Danio rerio: one gene and its partners. The main gene of each other region encodes a partner of the protein of the gene in region 2 in a complex. Links are inferred from orthologs where the notes say so. Each region holds a gene or a part of one and is shown on either strand. Other genes may lie near its edges.

Evidence for each region.
Region 1: the proteins of tubgcp5 (region 2) and mzt1 are in contact, whole or in part, in a crystal structure (PDB 6L81), measured with the Homo sapiens proteins. The link is inferred for Danio rerio from reciprocal best matches to the Homo sapiens genes TUBGCP5 and MZT1. Residues at the interface, in NP_443135.3 of Homo sapiens: Gln14, Gln15, Asp18, Val19, Glu21, Leu22, Val23, Val26, Ala27, Gly28, Asn36, Ala40, Phe43, Ala44, Asn47, Phe48, Arg52, Phe53, Leu54, Phe72, Lys80, Ser83, Trp84, Leu87, Thr88, Glu90, Phe91, Ala106, Ser109, Ile110; in NP_001065243.1 of Homo sapiens: Glu23, Val27, Leu28, Glu30, Ile31, Ser32, Ile34, Leu35, Asn36, Thr37, Leu39, Leu44, Ile46, Cys47, Val48, Arg49, Leu50, Cys51, Glu52, Gln53, Ile55, Asn56, Pro57, Glu58, Ala59, Leu60, Ser61, Ser62, Val63, Ile64.
Region 3: tubgcp5 (region 2) and tubgcp3 share a complex: the UniProt entries of both Homo sapiens proteins name them as parts of the gamma-tubulin ring complex. The link is inferred for Danio rerio from reciprocal best matches to the Homo sapiens genes TUBGCP5 and TUBGCP3.
Region 4: the proteins of tubgcp5 (region 2) and tubgcp4 are in contact, whole or in part, in a cryo-EM structure (PDB 9I8M), measured with the Xenopus laevis proteins. The link is inferred for Danio rerio from reciprocal best matches to the Homo sapiens genes TUBGCP5 and TUBGCP4. Residues at the interface, in XP_018102626.1 of Xenopus laevis: His233, Leu234, His235, Leu238, Ile241, Trp242, His245, His300, Met301, Thr302, Asn304, Cys305, Ser308, Val309, Gln312, Ala392, Ile393, Leu395, Asp396, Lys397, Arg410, Leu441, Asp442, Tyr443, Asp444, Asn445, Val446, Gly447, Glu448, Ala449; in XP_018110859.1 of Xenopus laevis: Met1, Ile2, His3, Glu4, Leu7, Tyr12, Pro13, Gly14, Ser15, Ile16, Gln29, Pro32, Phe33, Glu60, Thr63, Gly64, Ile84, Arg87, Ala88, Arg91, Arg101, Leu105, Gln109, Leu112, Pro115, His116, Leu117, Val178, Gly181, Val182.

What each region holds. Positions count from the first base shown.
Region 1 is NC_133176.1:34,322,109-34,327,415, reverse strand, and holds the start of mzt1 (mitotic-spindle organizing protein 1), read left to right. Parts: upstream 1-2,194; 5' UTR 2,195-2,429; coding exon 2,430-2,481; intron 2,482-5,144; coding exon 5,145-5,290; intron 5,291-5,307. Other genes in the region: bora (protein aurora borealis), read right to left, coding at 1,630-1,782. UniProt on the Homo sapiens protein: Required for the recruitment and the assembly of the gamma-tubulin ring complex (gTuRC) at the centrosome.
Region 2 is NC_133181.1:40,205,241-40,208,735, reverse strand, and holds part of tubgcp5 (gamma-tubulin complex component 5), read right to left. Parts: intron 2,635-3,495; coding exon 2,509-2,634; intron 2,325-2,508; coding exon 2,236-2,324; intron 2,093-2,235; coding exon 1,992-2,092; intron 1-1,991. UniProt on the Homo sapiens protein: Component of the gamma-tubulin ring complex (gTuRC) which mediates microtubule nucleation.
Region 3 is NC_133176.1:49,714,260-49,718,884, reverse strand, and holds part of tubgcp3 (gamma-tubulin complex component 3), read right to left. Parts: intron 3,762-4,625; coding exon 3,694-3,761; intron 3,578-3,693; coding exon 3,494-3,577; intron 3,083-3,493; coding exon 2,867-3,082; intron 1,868-2,866; coding exon of another isoform or gene 1,843-1,867; coding exon 1,695-1,842; intron 365-1,694; coding exon 252-364; intron 1-251. UniProt on the Homo sapiens protein: Component of the gamma-tubulin ring complex (gTuRC) which mediates microtubule nucleation.
Region 4 is NC_133182.1:54,541,928-54,546,552, forward strand, and holds part of tubgcp4 (gamma-tubulin complex component 4), read right to left. Parts: intron 2,064-4,625; coding exon 1,958-2,063; intron 1,884-1,957; coding exon 1,776-1,883; intron 1,708-1,775; coding exon 1,563-1,707; intron 1,475-1,562; coding exon 1,297-1,474; intron 27-1,296; coding exon 1-26. UniProt on the Homo sapiens protein: Component of the gamma-tubulin ring complex (gTuRC) which mediates microtubule nucleation.

The DNA of each region.
Region 1 (5,307 bases), on a different chromosome or scaffold from region 2:
TTTAAACAAAATAGCAAAACCCTTTCCAAGTTTTTTGTGTAGGCTTGTATTTTACAGTACTGTAAAAATACACAAAAATGTCTCAATCAATGTTTTTAAACAATTATATTTAAGTCACATGAGTGACAGTTTAACATGTAACATCCATAATGGAGAGATGCCACATCCATAAAGAAGCTTTTTCCACATAAATACAAAAATGTCAAAAAAAATACAATCAATAATTTTAGTTCTACAGTGAGCCAACTCTTATCATTTTGATTAGCATTGTTTATTTTAGGTTGTGCAGTTTAATTCACAGTATTTCTACAAAGTATGTTATATACTGCAAACTCACAGACTTTTTTGGTCACATTCATAAAAAAGCATGTCTATTTTCCTCATTTAAAATATAACAAATGCTTACAGATTGATATTTTGTCAGATCCCATAACTCTGTGGTTAGTTGTTTTGGAAAATTTAATCAGATGTTTCCATATACAGTTGAAGTCAGAATTATTAGCCCACCTGTTTATTTTTTCCCCAATTTTTGTTTAACAGAGAGATTTTCTCAGCACAGTTCTAATCATAAGAGTATTAATAACTCATCTCTAATAACTGATTTATTTATTCTTTGCCATGATGACAGTAAATAATATTTGAAAGACAGTTTTATACAGCTTAAATTGACATTTAAAGGCTTAACTAGGTTAATTAGGTTAACTAGGCGGATTAGGATAATTAGGCAAGTTACTGTGTATTGATAATTTGTTCTGTAGACAGTGTAAAAAATATATAGCTTACAAAGGCGAATAATTTTGTCCTTAAAATGTTTTTTTTTTTCAATTAAAAACTGCTTTTATTATAGCCAAAATAAAACAAATAAGACTTTCTTCAGAAGAAAAGTATTATCAGACATACTGTGAAAATTTCCTTGCTCCATTAATCATCCTTTGGGAGATACTTAAAAAAAGAAAATTCAAAGGGGGGCTAATAATTCTGACTTTAACTGTACATTCTATGTGTATGCTTTAAGTTTTTACTGCAAATGTCACATCCGTAATGCTGGAATTGCTCTCATCATTTACTCAACCTTAACCTGTTTGAGTGATTTTCCCCTGTTGAACTCAAAGAGAAATTTACAAAAGAACGTTCAGAAATAAACAGCCATTGACTGATTTTTTTTTTCCTTCAAACTTTAACAACTGACCAAAGTGTTCCTCACAACTGGCTTGCTAGGTTTGGGACTTGGGAAGCTGCACATCAATGGACTTGCTCTTCTGTATTTGTACTTTTAGCAGTGAATTTTAAATCACAGTAAACTGAACTACACTAAACTGAACTTCAACTCTGGATTGACACAGTTTCCATCTACTAGAAGCAGCTTTGAAACATTCTACATTGTAAAAATAGAAAAAAACATGAATTGAACTTCCATCATGTTTTTAGTGTCTACTATGAATATCAATCACTGTTTTCGTCCCCCAACATTCTTCAGAATATCTTGTTTTGTATTCAACAGAAGAGAGTATTTAATAATGGTTGAGAACCACTTAAGAGTAAATAATAGTGATGAAATTGACATTTTGGGAGGGTGAGCTATCCCTTTAGTTCTTTCCTCATATGTAGTAGAGTCAGTTAATTACTCACCGCTGACGAGCTCTTACAGCTTTTAAAGACAGACGGACTGGGCACCACAGACTCATGCAGACGGTGATAGTCGTTTGGGCTCTCAAACGGGTTCAGGATAGTAGGTCTAGCAGGAGTCTCGGGAGTTATATGAATCTTTGCGATGTCTCCCATCTTTAAAAAGACATCCAGCTGAGCACGCTGAATGTGTGAGAGTAAAACACGGAAAAGAGGAGATTATTTAAAGTATCAACAAATCAGAGCGATGAACATCATGTTTGCTTAGTTATATATCTTGTTATACATACACAAAAGATCAATGATACAATGTTCTACCTTTGGTAATCAGCAGTCTTAACGTTATAAAAGAAGGGGAAAACGTTAACCATGTGTTAGTTAATTAAATACTTACATCGTAACGAAACTCAAACAAACGTAACTGTGATATATGAATTGCTCCAACGTCTGATTTAATTTTTGATCAAGCGGTGCAAGCCAATCACAATCGAGCAAAACTTGCAAAACAGCCAATCAGGTGAGAAGAACGACACCCTTTCAGTGTCTACGTAACTTCCTTTCGAACGTGTGCAACTTTATTGACAGGATTACCATAACATCAAGCGGGAGGTGTAAATATAACGGCTGACAGTTAGTTCATGCTTGTTGTTGAATGCGTTTTATATTTTTCACCCTTGTTGTAAGTTCGCGAATGGTGAGAGAACGCCAGCAACTAACGTTTACAGAGATAGACGCATCAGTGTCGTCTGAATGAAAGATAGTGCGCTGTTAAGTAATCATATAGCTTTAGCAACGATAGCATCATGGCTAGTCCTGCAAGCGCAAACATGAACGCTGTCCGCGAGACCATGGATGGTAAGATTAAATGCATCAGTAGAATGATGAAATGCTGTCATTATAATGCATGCCCGTAGACAGCCTGGTGAAAGGGGTGGTTCTTTATTTTCTCATATGGTGGACCTTGTTGCAGTTATTCACTTCAAAAAAATGCTTTTTTAAAGTAACGTTACTTTATGAAATGTTGCCATATGGCATCGACGTCCAACAGTGGACATAACTTAGAAAATTTAAATGTAGAACTTTCCTTCTAATGAATAATTTTGTTCTTTGAAATGATTTAACTGGTGTTGCAGTATTATAAGCTTTAACACAGAACTTATAAATGACACCTTATGCATACTTTTCAACAACTGATATTCCAACAGCTTTTATTTATTCCATTCTTTTTTGCTGAATATTATTAAAACATAATATTGTTTTATAATGTATACAACACGGTAAAGGTAAATATTTTCTAAACATTTAAGTAAATATTATAATAAATATACCAGTACAATCTATCTAGATGTATCAATGTAGTTACTAGCTAACATTGTTTATATATTATATACTATATACTATACTACGCCTGTTTTAAATGCCTCCGAGCAAACTTACCTGAACTGTCTCCATCACTGTTCTTATCAAATGTCCAACCTGCATCATTCTCACGGTCACTAAAACCCATCTCAACATCACTTTCATCTGCAGGAAGAGCCAGATCTGTCCATTTCTTCTTCCACTTACCATAGAACATGGTGGTCCTCATTAATACACTGTTCCCTGTATTTATTTCTAATCAAACGTATTGCCATTAAAATGTGATTTTATCCATTTAATTTCTATTAATATATGACCAATTAACATTATATTACTAGCATTCATGTTGTTATTGTTACAACTTAAAAGATCACAGCTGACCTTGCTAGCTAGCTAACCCATTGCAATACTGCACATTCCACTATTGCACAGAGCAACACATACATTTGATCGAATTACAAAAAACTAACAAATATCAACTTGAATATAAGTTGGTTTTCTTTACCTCTTTTTCTGTCCATTTCTGCCAAAAACATGCTCTTACATAGGGCTGCACAATATTGGAAAAATCTTACATTGTGATATTTCACTTTACTGCGATTAGAAATAGACTGGTATTAGATTCTGATGGTACTGTATGATAACCTTGTATATAAATATGACTGTATTGTGATTACTAAAATATATATTCTTTTTAAATGTCTAAGTAAAAAACAAAAACTTTTTCCCCTTTAAACAACTTTTTTTTATTTAGAGAAATATTTAAAGTATTTTGAAACAGTAAACATGTCAGGCTAAATAATTAAAATGAATTATTGCATTCTGACTTCATTAGTTTCAAAAACACTGAACAGCTCTACTTGGAAAGAAAGATTTCATTCATATAGATCAGCTGGGATAATTAAATCTTTTTCAATGCAGTGCATCAGCATAAAATATAATAAATTACAAGCATATTCAAACAAGACAGAGCAAAAATAAACAGTGCTTTATGGTTTTCTAAGGAGTGTAAAAGTAATCAAATACAATAAAACGTAAAATAACATCACTGTATAAATAACCTAAAAAATAATAACTTTTTAATCTTTGATAAACAGTCTAATTTTGTGATATGGCTATTGTGGATACACATAATGCAATATAGATGCTCAAACTATATATTGTTTAGCCCTACTTTCACATTATTTGTGCTGTGTAAGCATTACATAAATACATTTTACATAGATATAAAAATAGATTTAAACTAAATAGATTGTTGACTGTTTTACAATATGCAGTGCAAACATTAGGTCATGAAAATTTACTTAAAAGTCCTGGAGAAGGCATGGAATTTTAGTAGTAAAAATGTGTATGAACCCTGTATATTAAAAGATAAATAAATAAAGCTTGATGATTTTTATAGCCTCCCATGTAAAAAAAAAAGTACATTTGAAAATTCATGGATCACAAGAATAGCCTAGGTATTAACTTTAGTATAACTAAAGCTTTGCTGCTTAAGGTCCAAGATTTAGAATCAAAGTTTTTTGTAAAATGTTTTCTCTATTTAACAACAGTGCAGTTGGTCAGTAGTGAAAAATGATTTCACTTACAGTTGTGTCAGATTCTGCTTTGTCCTAAAGCTATTTATGGGATGTGTTTGCAATTTTTGATGGCTTAGCAGATAAAATTGGACTATTGAGCTCATGTGTGTGGCAAATTCTGGAACTTTGTCGGTGTGGGTGGGTATTTCGAACCACTCGAACCCCTCTTAGCTTTGGGTCTGTAATTTGTTATTTTATTACATGGCGATACAGATCCTCACAAACTAAACATAAGTAACGTAAGAAACATAAGTGTGAATAAAAATGTTAATAATGTAAATTAATAATAATATCTCTATTGGTAATTTCTTTGTTGCATTTTATTGGTGGCATTCTAGTTGATTATGTCTCAAAACGTACTAAAACCAATTCAAATATGTTGTCATAAGAGGTTAAATTAAATTGAAGGTAAAATGAAGTCCTTTAGAACTTCTGTAATGTTTCTGTTTTGTTTTTTTGTTTTCAGAAGGGGGAAATAACTACACTTACTGCGTTAACCAAATTATTTCATAATACATTTATTTATACATTTACATACAAGGTTGTTTGACATGATTTGTTTCATTCTTTCACTCTCAGTTCTCCTGGAGATATCAAGGCTGCTGAATACAGGATTGGACATGGAGTCTTTGTCAATATGTGTCCGTCTCTGTGAGCAGGGGATCAATCCCGAAGCCCTGTCATCAGTTATCAAAGAACTCAGAAGAGCCTCAGACTCACTAAAGGTAGGTTTTTTGATGGC
Region 2 (3,495 bases):
TCGAGCTGATAGAAAGGCAACAGTAACTTAAATAAACACTCGTTACAACTGAGGTATGCAGAAGAGCATCTCTAAACGCACAACACATCCAACTTTGAGACGGATGGGCTACAGCAGCAGAAGACCCCACCAGGTGGCACTCCTGTCAGCTAAGAACAGAAAACAGGCTACAATTCGCACAGGCTCACCAAAATAGGACAATAGAAAATTGGAAAAACGCTGCCTGATCTGATGAGTCTCGATTTCTGCTGCGACATTCGGATGATTGGGTCAGAATTTGAAGTCAACAACATGAAAGCATGGATCCATCCTGCCTATCATCGGTTCTGGCTGGTGGTGGTGGTGTAATGGTGTGAGGGATATTTTCTTGGCAATTGAGCATTGTGTCAATGCCACAGCCCACCCGAGTATTGTTGCTGACCATGTTCATCCCTTTATGACCACAGTGTACCCATATTCTGATGGCTACTTCCTGCAGGATAACACGCCATGTCATAAAGCGTGAATTATCTCAGACTGGTTTCTAAAAAATGACAATGTAATGTGTATTTATATAGTGCAATAATTGTGTATGGCCATACACCTAAAGTGCTTCATAACCATGGTGGGGGGGTCTCTCCTCACCACCACCAGTGTGCATCATCCACTTGGATGATGCGATGGCTGCCACAGGACAACGGCGCCAGTGCGCTTGTCACACAACAACTGTAGGTGGAGTGGAGAGACAGTGATAGAGCCAATTCGGTGGATGGGAATGATTGAGAGGCCATGATCATAAGGGCCGATTGAGGGACTTTGGCCTGGACACAGGGGTTACACCCCTACTCTTTTTTTTTTTTAAGGAGAACTGCCATGGGATTTTTAATGACCACAGAGAGCCAGGACCATGGTTTAACGTCTTATCCAAAAGACAGAACTCACTGTACTCAAATGGCCTCCACAGTCACCAGATCTTAATCCAACAGCGCACCTTTGGGCTGCGGTGGAACAGGAGATTCGCATCGATTCTATTATGTCAATATGGACCAAAATCTCAGAAGAATATTTCCAGTACCTTGTTGAATTTATGCCACGAAGCATTAAGGCAGTTCTGAAGGCAAATGTGGGTCCAACCTGGTACTAGTAAGGTGTACCTAATAAAGTGGCCAGTAAGTGTATTAAAAAGATAATTTTGACTTAATTTCATTAACACATCTATGTAATAATTGTATATATTTGGTAATATTCAGCAAATACATACTGGGGGGGGTAAGGTTCTATATTTTCTTCAGTAATCAAGTGTCAGATTCAATTTAATTAACAAAAAGTGATTTTATATACATGAAGATATTAAATGCAACTTAAGTTTTTAAAGTTTTAATTACATTTGTGAAACTATCATTTCCAGTTAGAGTGAAATAATGTCCAAGTTAATATAAACATTTATATGCAAATGAACAATTGTCTGACCTGTACATAATTAAAAAAAAAGTGATTCTACAAAATTGTATTTTATTTGACATGATTAAAAAATAACTGCCACCAACTGGGTGAAACCTAGTAGTTCAAATGATATTGTCAAAGTATAAAGATTTCAAATGGTATATAAAATATTATTGTACAGAATGCTACTTCATGTTTATTCTGTAATTCAAGCTAAAAATATGTGTGAAGTCATTATTTATTTGCTCAGAATAATTAATCGAGACATTTTATGTCTTTATATCAATTCATTTTAACTTTTTAAAAACATTTAAAAGACATCTTTTTGCACAAGTTCTTAATTACCAGTAAGGTGAGCTGGTTTTTACAGTCGAGTAGTGTTTGTACATGGATTTTAACCTTTTTTCTTTTACTGTAAAGCACTTTGTGACTTCTTGTCTGGGAAATGTGCTAAAGAAATAGTACATTATACTTGATATTTAAAACCCACAAATTGATCCACAAACATTTAAACATGCTTTCTTTTCTTCACACTATTGTTTTAAAATGCACTGTAGTTTAGGACTTACGATGAGGAAATGAGCCTCTGCAAACAGCCTTGTTTAATATGGTCACCAGAAACATGTGACAGTTTTTAAAATCCGACTCCATTTTGTCAATCGACTCGATTCTGGGGAAAAGAAGAGAGACGTGAATATTGCAATCCACAGTCATGAGGAAAAAAAGAAAGCTAAAGAGAAGTGAAAGCTCATGGTCATCAAGCTGAAGTGAAAGCTGTGAGATAGGGATACATGTAAGATTTTTTTTACTTACTTCCAGGCCCCAAAACCAGCCTGCCATCTGTCAGAGAAGATGAGAACTAAATTCAGCACTTTCATGATGGCCTCCTTGACAAAACTGACCTGCAAAGACACAGTAACCCCAATTTGATGGATCAGAAATATTCCAAATATCTATACCGGTTTAAAAGATTAAGAAAACTAGGCCACCCATCAGAAGTACATTTTCAACCGTGACATGCAATTTTGTGCAATAATAAGTCAAATTTCGAGATTTTTTTTTTTTCAATGTCTAATTCCAGCGTACTTTCTCTCTGAGCAGACATCGGTCATGAATGGTGGACAAGTATCTGTAGTGGATTTTAATGAGCTGGTCCAGGTCTTTTGCCTCCTGTACTTGGTGTTGAAACTCTAGACCCGTACTATGCAATATCTGCGAATAAAATGAATCAAATAAAAACAGATGTTAGAAACACAGTCTGAACTCAACTACAAATAAAGCAAGCTTTCTGCACGTTTTATGTAGGAAAATTTAAGGCTTTGAATTATTTTAAGACCTTGTAAGCAAGCTTTAATAATACTTTGAAGGGAACACAATATGTCCAAATGTTCTCTAAATGTATAACAGTTTTATTAGCAAGAACATAAGAACTTTTATATTTTTTTATTTATTTTATAGCTTGAGATTTAAATAATTCCAAAACTAAAATAAACCTTCTGATCACACTGTAGAAAAAAAAAAAAAAACGATGTTCTTCTTTAGTATTTTTGTCTAGTTTTTCCAATGTGAATGTCGATATACATTTACTTTAGAAGCAAAATGAGATTTAATAAGCTGCCTAATAGGTTTTCTATAAAAAGGAAGTTTCTTATTGGGTAGAAAAGTCTTTTTTGTAGTCCTTGTAGTTTTAAGTATAAATTCACTTTTGTTCAATTTATGGGATGATAATCGGTTTCAAGGTATACTCTAGAAATCACAATTTTAAAACCGCTAAAATGTTCTGTTATACCATTTCAAGGGTTATTTGTGTTTTTAATTTGTTTGTTATGTATTGTTCATGAAATCTGTGTTTTTAAAACTAATGAAGAGAGCAAATGTCAATGATTTATTTTAACAATTTAGCCTTACATGTTGACAGTTTCAAAATATTATAAATGTTTCACAAAAATAAAATTGTGTTCAATGGAAAAAAAAAAGTTTTAAAACATTTAAAAAGAACGTATTTTAGAGCAGTAATCACAATATTGTGATACCATGGTGCTTCTTTCCAAGGTTATCATACCATCAGAAACA
Region 3 (4,625 bases), on a different chromosome or scaffold from region 2:
TAATACATTCGTGATACATACTATGTGCAATTTTTATAAAACAGCATTTATTTGAAACTCAATATTTTAAAACATACAAAAAATACTCAAATAATAGACAAATAAATAATAGATCTCCCTGAAAGGAAACTTTAAACAGTAATGCATATTTTTTAATATAAAAAAATATCCTGCCATAAAATCCTGCCATAGGTTAATGGTAGTTCTCAAAGAAGCCAAATGAGAGAAAGATACAGCTTATAATGCATCACCTTTGAATCAATTTTGTAGCAGTTTTCCGGGCTGCACATCTTGATGAACTTTCCGTCGATTCCCTGGAAAACATAAAGAATGTCTCGGACGAGAGCAGCTTCCCCAATATCAGCTGGCCCAGAAAAAGAGAGGAAAAAAAAGTAGTGAAAAAAAGACAGTTTGAAGTACTGTAAAGGTCAGACTCATATATCTGTCACAGAGAAAGGTGCCGTGTGGCCCTCTGCATCTTAAACACCTCAGAAATCCTTCTTCAGGTCTAAGGAATGCACAAGAAAGGACACAAGTCTAATGTGAAATGCAAGAATCTACTCTGATTAATTAAAAAAAAAAAAAAAAAGGAAAATATTCTGTAAAATAAAATGAGGGTTTGTTCACAGACGGACCCATTTATTGCATATACTGAATAAAACACTTGGGCTGATGTCAATGGTGTTAAATGATCATTTATATAGGATATAAAATATATTTATTTACATTTATCTTCATAGAGAAATGGTAAAAAAATGTATTTCTGTCATTTACTGAAACACAAACACAAACTGTTTAACACAAAAGAAGATATTCTGAAGAGAAGAATGTTGGAAAACGGTTGCCATTGATTAGAGGGAAAATACTACTGAAGTCAATGGCTACTGGTCTCCAACATTCTTCAAAATATCTTTTTTGTCATTGCTTTTTGTTAAAAAATATTTTATTATAATTATTCTTTTTTTATTATTTATTTATTTGCTTTAATATTATAATTTTTTTATTATTATTATAACTGTCACAACAGCAATGTGACAGGCTATTTCATGGCAAGCTCAACATCCATAAAACACATTTACATAATGATAAATTCAATAACAAATCCATATTTCAGCTTGTTATAAATATAATTTTTTAAAATATACATTTCCTACTATCAAAGTCAATGGCAACCAGTTTCCCACATTCCAATAGCGTTCAGCTGCACGTCTAGCTCCACGTTTTGGTACCTTTTCTCGTGTTTGGTACCCTTTCGAAAGGGTGCCGAACAATTGGTATGGTACGGTTTGGTACGCCTTTTGACAGTGGAAATGGCCATAAAAGAGTACCAAACAGAACAGTACCACTCAATGGAAACGGGCCATAAGGTGTAACTAATAAAGTGGCTGGTGAGTGTATATCCCAATAAAAATAAGAAATCCATAATACTTCCTCTGTATGTCACATGACTAAAGTGTAATCGCAACATCTGTGGTTTCAAATTTGTGAAACTGCTACTGCAATTAATAAATCAGTACTAGTTTTAAACCATTTGCAGTAAGTAAAGGAGGAGTAAATTAAAAGTTTTGGGCGAAGTATCCTTTAAGTTTTTAAAATACTATCCTTATTTTATTTTTTTTAGTATAAGCAATCGACACTTTCCAACTGGCCATGTCTTTTAACAAAAATCTAAGATTACTGCTGCAGATACCAACCACTGCCATCTCCGTCCCGCCTGGGTCTTTGCAGTGGTTTGGGAGCTGGACTGGAGGAGGGTCCGCTGGGGGGACGAGGAGCAGCTGCTGCCCCAGACGGAGAACTGGACACTGGCAGAGTCCAGGCTAAACGAGACCCTCTCATAGACTCTCCAACAGCCTGAGTTCCAGCTCTAAAACAGAAAAAAATGGTATAGATTTATAAAAATTTACCTCATGATGCTGTATGTTAAATTCTAGAACAAAAAGTCCAACTCTAAGGCTGCGGTGAAAGAAATATTTGTCTTTTTCACCACATAAATTTTCGAGACACATTCTCGTTGCCCATTAGCAAAACCAGTGGGAATTCACTAATTACCACATAATGGCACGCTTTAAACAAATAATGACATTGAGCTCTGGACACTTTAATGATGTTGTTTGCTCTGACAGATTTACTGTGAAATGGATCCGGTAATCAATTAATTCAGGAGCTTGGAGGACATGGCCATATTTAAAATATCTTAAGTGCTGCAGGTGCTAGACAAATGCATTAATAATAGATGAGTGTGCGGCAGTTCAATTAAACGTGCGACAAATACAACAGCTGTATAATTGAAAAGATAATTATGAAAAGGGGAGGGAAGGAGAGAGAGAAACCCTTATGTTTTGTCATAGACTTTATAAAGGATTATATGAAGCAATTCAACAGAAGCTGAATAAGAATGACACAACAACTGTTCACAGGAGAGAAAATTCAGCTAGATCTTTTCTTACAACATTTTTTAAACCACCTATAGAACCACTGAATTATTTTATGTACAAAAATAAGTTGGGAATTATTGCCGTCTATGGAGGATGAGGGAGCTCTCAGATTTCCCTTAATTATATTCATTTATAATATGTAATATTTGAGAAGTATGCTTTAAGATCATTCATATAAAATTCTACGTACCAACACAATGATTTCTATATGCAAATACTTGCTGTGTTATACTGTATTTTACTTATTGTATAAAAAAATACATACATATATACATATATGTATATATTTTATGCCGAAATTATTATATCGAAATTATGTCATTCCATTTTTTTTTTTTTTTCGAAGTGTATTTTTTAAGCTTCCCCAAGAATGACGACTTCCACTGCTGAGAAAGCTGCAAATATGAAAAAGGTTTATTGTCTGCAACTGACCCAGTAAGCAAAGATGGTGGGGTCGGTCCAGGCCCATTAATAGAAAACACCCCCATACTGCTGATTCCACTGGTAGCCATGCTGGAGTTATGAGCTGTGGCGGAGCGCTCTGGGTAGCTGAGTGGGAGACTCTGAGGACGGGCATAGTAGAACGGTGTGGAGTGAACATCACGGGGCAAAGCCTGAGCAAGCAGAGCTCCATAACTACACACCTGTAGACAGAAAACAAGATTACTTCTGCGCTTATACACAAAATCCCTTTAAGGCAAGTCATTTTACTCGAAGACCATCTTTGAAATGCCTTGTATGCTGAGGTATTCTGTTTGAATGGGGTAACATCAAATTCTCTAAAAATGCTTGCCAAGCTTAAGATTTAATTTCAAATTAGGAATCATCAATGAATACACCCCCCCCCCCCCCTTCCCCCAAAGAATCGTCAGTCTATATCGATTGCTGATTGTCTCCTGTACTAGAAGACGGGGCTTCATTCGTCATATTGACCTTTACACTTTTCGCCATTCAAAACTATAAGAGCGACACGTCTTGTGTATTCTATAGCCTTTGTTATACATCATGTAAAGTTATATTTCATATCACTGAGTCTGTAAAATAGGATTTCATACAGGAACCCGGCCGGATGGTTTCCTTGGGTCCTCACAGAGGCTGAGCAGGAGGTATAAGATGGACCATCTGTGTTTCAATACACCCTGTTGAACAGAAACAACTGAATCAACATACAACATCTAACAATCTAACGATCATTATATCTGATCCGTGCACCACGGCTAGCTGGGAAATAATGAGAATAATGATCGATTCTGACCTGGGTCTGAAGCTTTCTGTGCAACTCAGAGAAAAGGGCTGCATCTGCTTCCCGCCTTTGTTTCAACACTGCAAGAATTCAGCAATAATCAACAATAAATGATGACACCAAAATATAAAGTTTTTCTTTTTAATGCAGCTATTATTAAAGGGCATTTTTGACAGAATTGTCTCTACGCCGATAGGTCCAGGGCTGGATTATTACTAATGACAACATGGTGGAATAATTATGCATAGTCAGTAAAGGAACAAAGAAAAGTAACAGACAATAAACACACAGTAAATACATTACAGTGGTTTTTGAATCGGGTTGTCTGCAATATTAATGATTTTTGTCAATCTTAATTCTGAAATTCTAGCTGACAGCATTATTTTGTGTTATTTTACTATAAAGAAAGTAGAACTGTAAATTTGACACAAAAATATGTATAATCTGGTACATACAGTGATCATTCTTTCAATATTTAAAAGTAACTTAAAAATGGATTTGATTATACATAACAATTATCCAACCTTGGAAAAGATAACTCAAGACAAAAATATGGTTAAAACCAATCATCAGTTAATCACAAATTATCGATATTATTCACAGTAAATTTGCTGATCAGTTGTATTTTTTTTATTCTGTTATACTGAACATTCAGAATTATGTTGATTTCATCATCTTACCAAAGTCCTAAATCTGATATTATGAATTTCTATGACTACATCTGCTGAAATTCCAGCTACTATAGCAGATTAACAATTCACCCTAATTTCTATTTTTCATGCGGAAACAAAGTTTAATATTATGTTTCTGAAATAAAATTCTTAAAACTTAATTCTCATATAATTTTACTTTTATTTTTTTTTTTTGTAGATTAATATAACAGGTCAAAAAAAAAAAACACAAAATATTTGTTTCAGGCCTTCTAAAAGCACATGTGCACAAAA
Region 4 (4,625 bases), on a different chromosome or scaffold from region 2:
GAAAACTGGGACTCCAGAACATCCACCTGAGCAATGGAGAAGTCAAAATAATTTACATATACATATTGAGACTTTCATACATACACTGTTCTTTTTCTGTTAAAATATTCATAATTAACTGCAAACTGAACATAAATAATTGGTTTGCAGTAGGGCTGGGCTGATAAACCATATGATATCGAATTGTGATAAAAATTTATGCCAATAACAACGAGCTATGAACTTCTTTTTAAGTCTATATTGATCTAGGAGCCAATTACACAGCAGCAATGAGAATCTAAAAGTGTGTTGATATTAGAGATGCACCGGCCACTGAAAATTTATTGGCCCAAAAATATGTTTTGGCATTTAATAGACCCTCAAATTTTTGTGGTTTCAGTCATTTTTGTTGTTCTCTTTTAAATCTGAAAGCATTAACAATTCATATCAAAATATATATCGTTAAATATGAAAAATAATTATGGAGATGGCACTTTTGCCTTATCGCCCAGCCCTAGTTTCCACCACAATTTAAGAAAGTTGAAACTATTCTTTGGTTTCAGACTTGTTTAAAGTTTTTAATTAAATCAATGAATCTTTGTTTTCATTATTTCACATTATGTGAATTGTTGATGATACAGTATCAAGATGCTTTGTTATTATGACTTTGTAGGATCTTCATATAGTTATAAAAGATTACATAAAATAATAGTAACCTATTAAGCATACCGCATGCCTAAAACCGCATAAACTCACTTCTATCCTAAGATGTCTACCATCGCAGAAATAAATTACATTTATACACACTACATCCCTAACAGAGACAAGACAGAAGCAGTGTCTGAGCTCTGTCACAAAAACAAGAATAAACCAAAGAGACAGAACCTTAAAATCCTTAAGAAAAGCATATCCTGAAAGCATAAAGCAATATCCTGACTTGCTGCTCAAGTAACATTTCTTGTTATTATTATCAAATGTAAAAAAAAAAAAGGTTGTGTAGCTTTATACATTTTAAGGATTCCTGGATGAATAGAAAGTATTCGAAACAAATATGTAAAAAAAATAAATGTTTTACGATCACTTTTTATATCATCTGTCACAATATACAAAAATCAAGAATTTAGCTGAAAGTCTGAACACATATTCCAATGTTAGTTCACTTTAACTATATAATCAACTAATGTTTACCAATGTTTTTGAAGTTTACCAAACAAATCCTTCTGATTCCTTGTAACTTTGTAATAGTAGTGTAGGCATATTAGCATCACCAGCAAAGGAGGATTAATTTTTGACTAAATAAATAATTCTAGCAGTAACCTGAAGGTAATACTGAAGGTTGTCCACTAGGAAGGCCATATGGTTGCGGAGTCTCCATTTTACTGCATCCGTCTGGTTTGATTTGAGATGCTTGCGCTGCATCTGCAAAGCCCAGCAGTGCTGCAACTCGGACTGGACTCGACGCACACTCAGCAGGTACCGGAACACTACATTATACCTGTAGTCATGTAGTTAATGATAAATAGTTATTATATTCATGCTAAATAATAATATGAAACTAATAATAACATAAAATGATGACCTACTTCTCCAACACAGCAGGAGTGAAAAGAATATGCAGAGGCCACTGAACCTTGTAAGCCAATCCCAGTGCAGCCCAGCCAGTGGGCGGAGCTTCACGAGGAGAGCTCTCCTGAGGTGGAGTGGTGCCCTCTCGATTCCCAGAACCCTCTACAACCACAAGGATTAAATGATGTGTATTTCATATGTAGATGAAAATGCTTGTCAGTCAGAAATACCTTTGCTTTCTTTTCCATGGTAGTCTATGGTGAGGTGGAGGAGTGGCAAAAGATTGTCATCGTCGAGCAGCACTTTGTGAGCCGCTTGCTGAAATGCCACATTGACATCTGGAAAAAAAATTGTGATATATTTAGAGAAATGGAGAAAAGTTTATGGTTTATAAAGTAAGTTGTATTAATACCATGTTCAGTAACAGCAGAAGGTGGGGTTTTCAGCATATGCTGAGCAAGGTCAATGAAGACCTGGTAGAGTTCACCTCGCCCCAACAAGAAAAAGTCCTTTATGATCTAAAACAATAACAACAGACCATTCATTATGGGTTTTCACTGTTAGAATAGACATTAGAGATCTAAATTGCACATCGGAGTCATGAAACCAGCAGGGATTGTAGGTGCATCGAATGAATTTCCTGCACTTTCTTCCACCCTCAATACTATGGATGAGGTGAGCCCCTTTGGCAAGGCACCAAACCGCTCACTGCCTCGGGGGTGTGGAGGTGTGTGTGTGAGAGAGGGAGAGATTCGCTTTAGATAAAAGCATTTACTAATATGAGAATGGATTCCTTTTTTGGAGGGATCTCATGATGCATCACAAATTGTGGTGCTATGGAAACATTTCTGTATTTTGGTATCTTGATAAATGTGTTAAGCCATCTAATGACATCTGAATTTTTTTTCAGATGTCAATGTGGCATTTCAGCAAGCGGCTCACAAAGTGCTGCGCGACGATGACATGCTCCCCCTGAGACAAATAATGAGAAAGAACCAAATCTCCTACCACAGCTATGCTGATGACACTCAGATCTTCCTAGCCTTACTGCCTAATGACTACAGCCCCATTGACACCCTCTGCCAATGCAGAGGCTCCCAGTTACATTCAGAATAGATTTTAAAGTATTATTACTGGTCTATAAATCACTAAATGGCCTAGGACCTCAATACATTACAGATATGCTCACTAAATACAAACCCAACAGATCACTCAGATCTTTAGGATCATATAAACTAGAAATTCCAAGAGTTCAGTCAAAGCAGGGTGAATCTGCCTTCAGCCACTACGCCCCTCGCTGCTGGAATCAGCTTCCAGAAATGATCAGATGTGCACCAACATTAGGCATGTTAAAATCAAGACTGAAAACACATCTGTTTAGCTGTGCCTTTACTGTATGAGCACTGTGCTAAGTCCGACAGATTGCACTATTATGTTTTTCATTTTCTTTTTCATTCTTTTATAACCTATTTTAACACATTTTAAAATTGTTTTTATCTGTTTTTAATCATTTTTATTGTCTGCATTTTATGTCCTAAACTTGTCTTTTTTATTCCTGTTTATGTAAAGCACTTTGAATTGCCACTGTGTATGAAATGTGCTATATAAATAAACTTGCCTTGCCTTGCCTTGCCTAATGGTGTGATGTGACATCACAGGCAGGGTGACAAAAGGACAAGGAGCAAAAATTTGAAAGAGCATTAGCTTCTGGGTCTTTGGCAAGCACTCTCTGTGCATTTTTAGCCGAACTGTTGGGTTTTTTCACACATGTATATAAATCAGGAATACACACAATTTATGTGCTACTTATCTAGGAGAAGAGATGCCTGGTGAGCTCTCAAGAGGACTGACTGTGCACACCGAATACCTACTCAAGTGTGTGCTCCACTTCTATTTGTTGCACATTGGGAAGGGTGCACAGGCTCACAGACTTTGCGACTTGGGTTCCGGTTTTGTTGTTGTTATTGTTGTACAGTGGAGGATGTAGTAACGAGGATCGCAGATGTATTCAGCAGAGGGAATGGATGGGTCCCCCACATGCTGAACCCAGAATTGTCTTTCTGGATTTAGTGTGGTGCAATGCAGTTGTAGCCAACTGAACACTCATTAGTGAAATGCAACATTGATTGCTTAGAACAAGGACAAAGGGAAGGGGATGGGGCTTTGGTCATCATCTTCTTGGTAGCAAGAAGGGACAAATATGTGACTTGAAGGTATTGAGGAGTTGTGTCAGGCTGCAGATCAGTCTCTTCATGGAAATGAGAAGACATCAGAAGTCATTGCGCAGTATTTTTAGACAGAATCCGAGGACTTTTACTCTCAGCAATGGCAAAGATTTAATGCCAGAAGGATCAGACAGAGGAAGAGCAATTACAACACATTGCATGCTTCAGTGTGCAGCAGTAGTCAGCAAGTTCAACTCACTGAGATTTTCCCAATCTCTAAGGACAGTTTCAGAGCGACCACCTCGGCTGATCTCTGCAAGTCTACTTCTTTAGGAGTCAGAATATGCCACAGAACATGCCTCTTCCCTAAGTAAATCATCTGGCAGCATAGAAACTTCTGCCAAATGGGTCTTATTGGTCCTGCAAAGTGTAGAAAGAGGCTACAGAATGTAGTTTGGTTCTCATATGCTAAAAATGAATGGATCATTCCCACAGTTGTGTGCCTCTGGCAGGAAGTGGTCATGTTCACGCTCAATCCAGGGCCTATGAACAAAGCAGCCTCTTTCGTAATAATAATAATAATAATTCCTTACATTTATATAGCGCTTTACACATAGGGGGAATCTCCTCATCCACCACCAGTGTGCAGCATCCACCTGGATGACGCGTTGGCAGCCATTTTACACCAGACCACACACACGGTGGCGAGGAAACAGAGTAATCAAGCCAATTATGGTATGGGGAGGGTTAGGAGGCCATGATGGACAGAGCCCAGTGGGCAAATTTGGCCAAAACCCCTACTCTTTTTCGAAGGAAATACTGTTATTTTTAATGACCACAGAGATTCAGGACCTCAGTTTAACGTCTCATCCAAAAAACAGCACTCACTGAGCAGTATAGAGTGCCCATCACTAT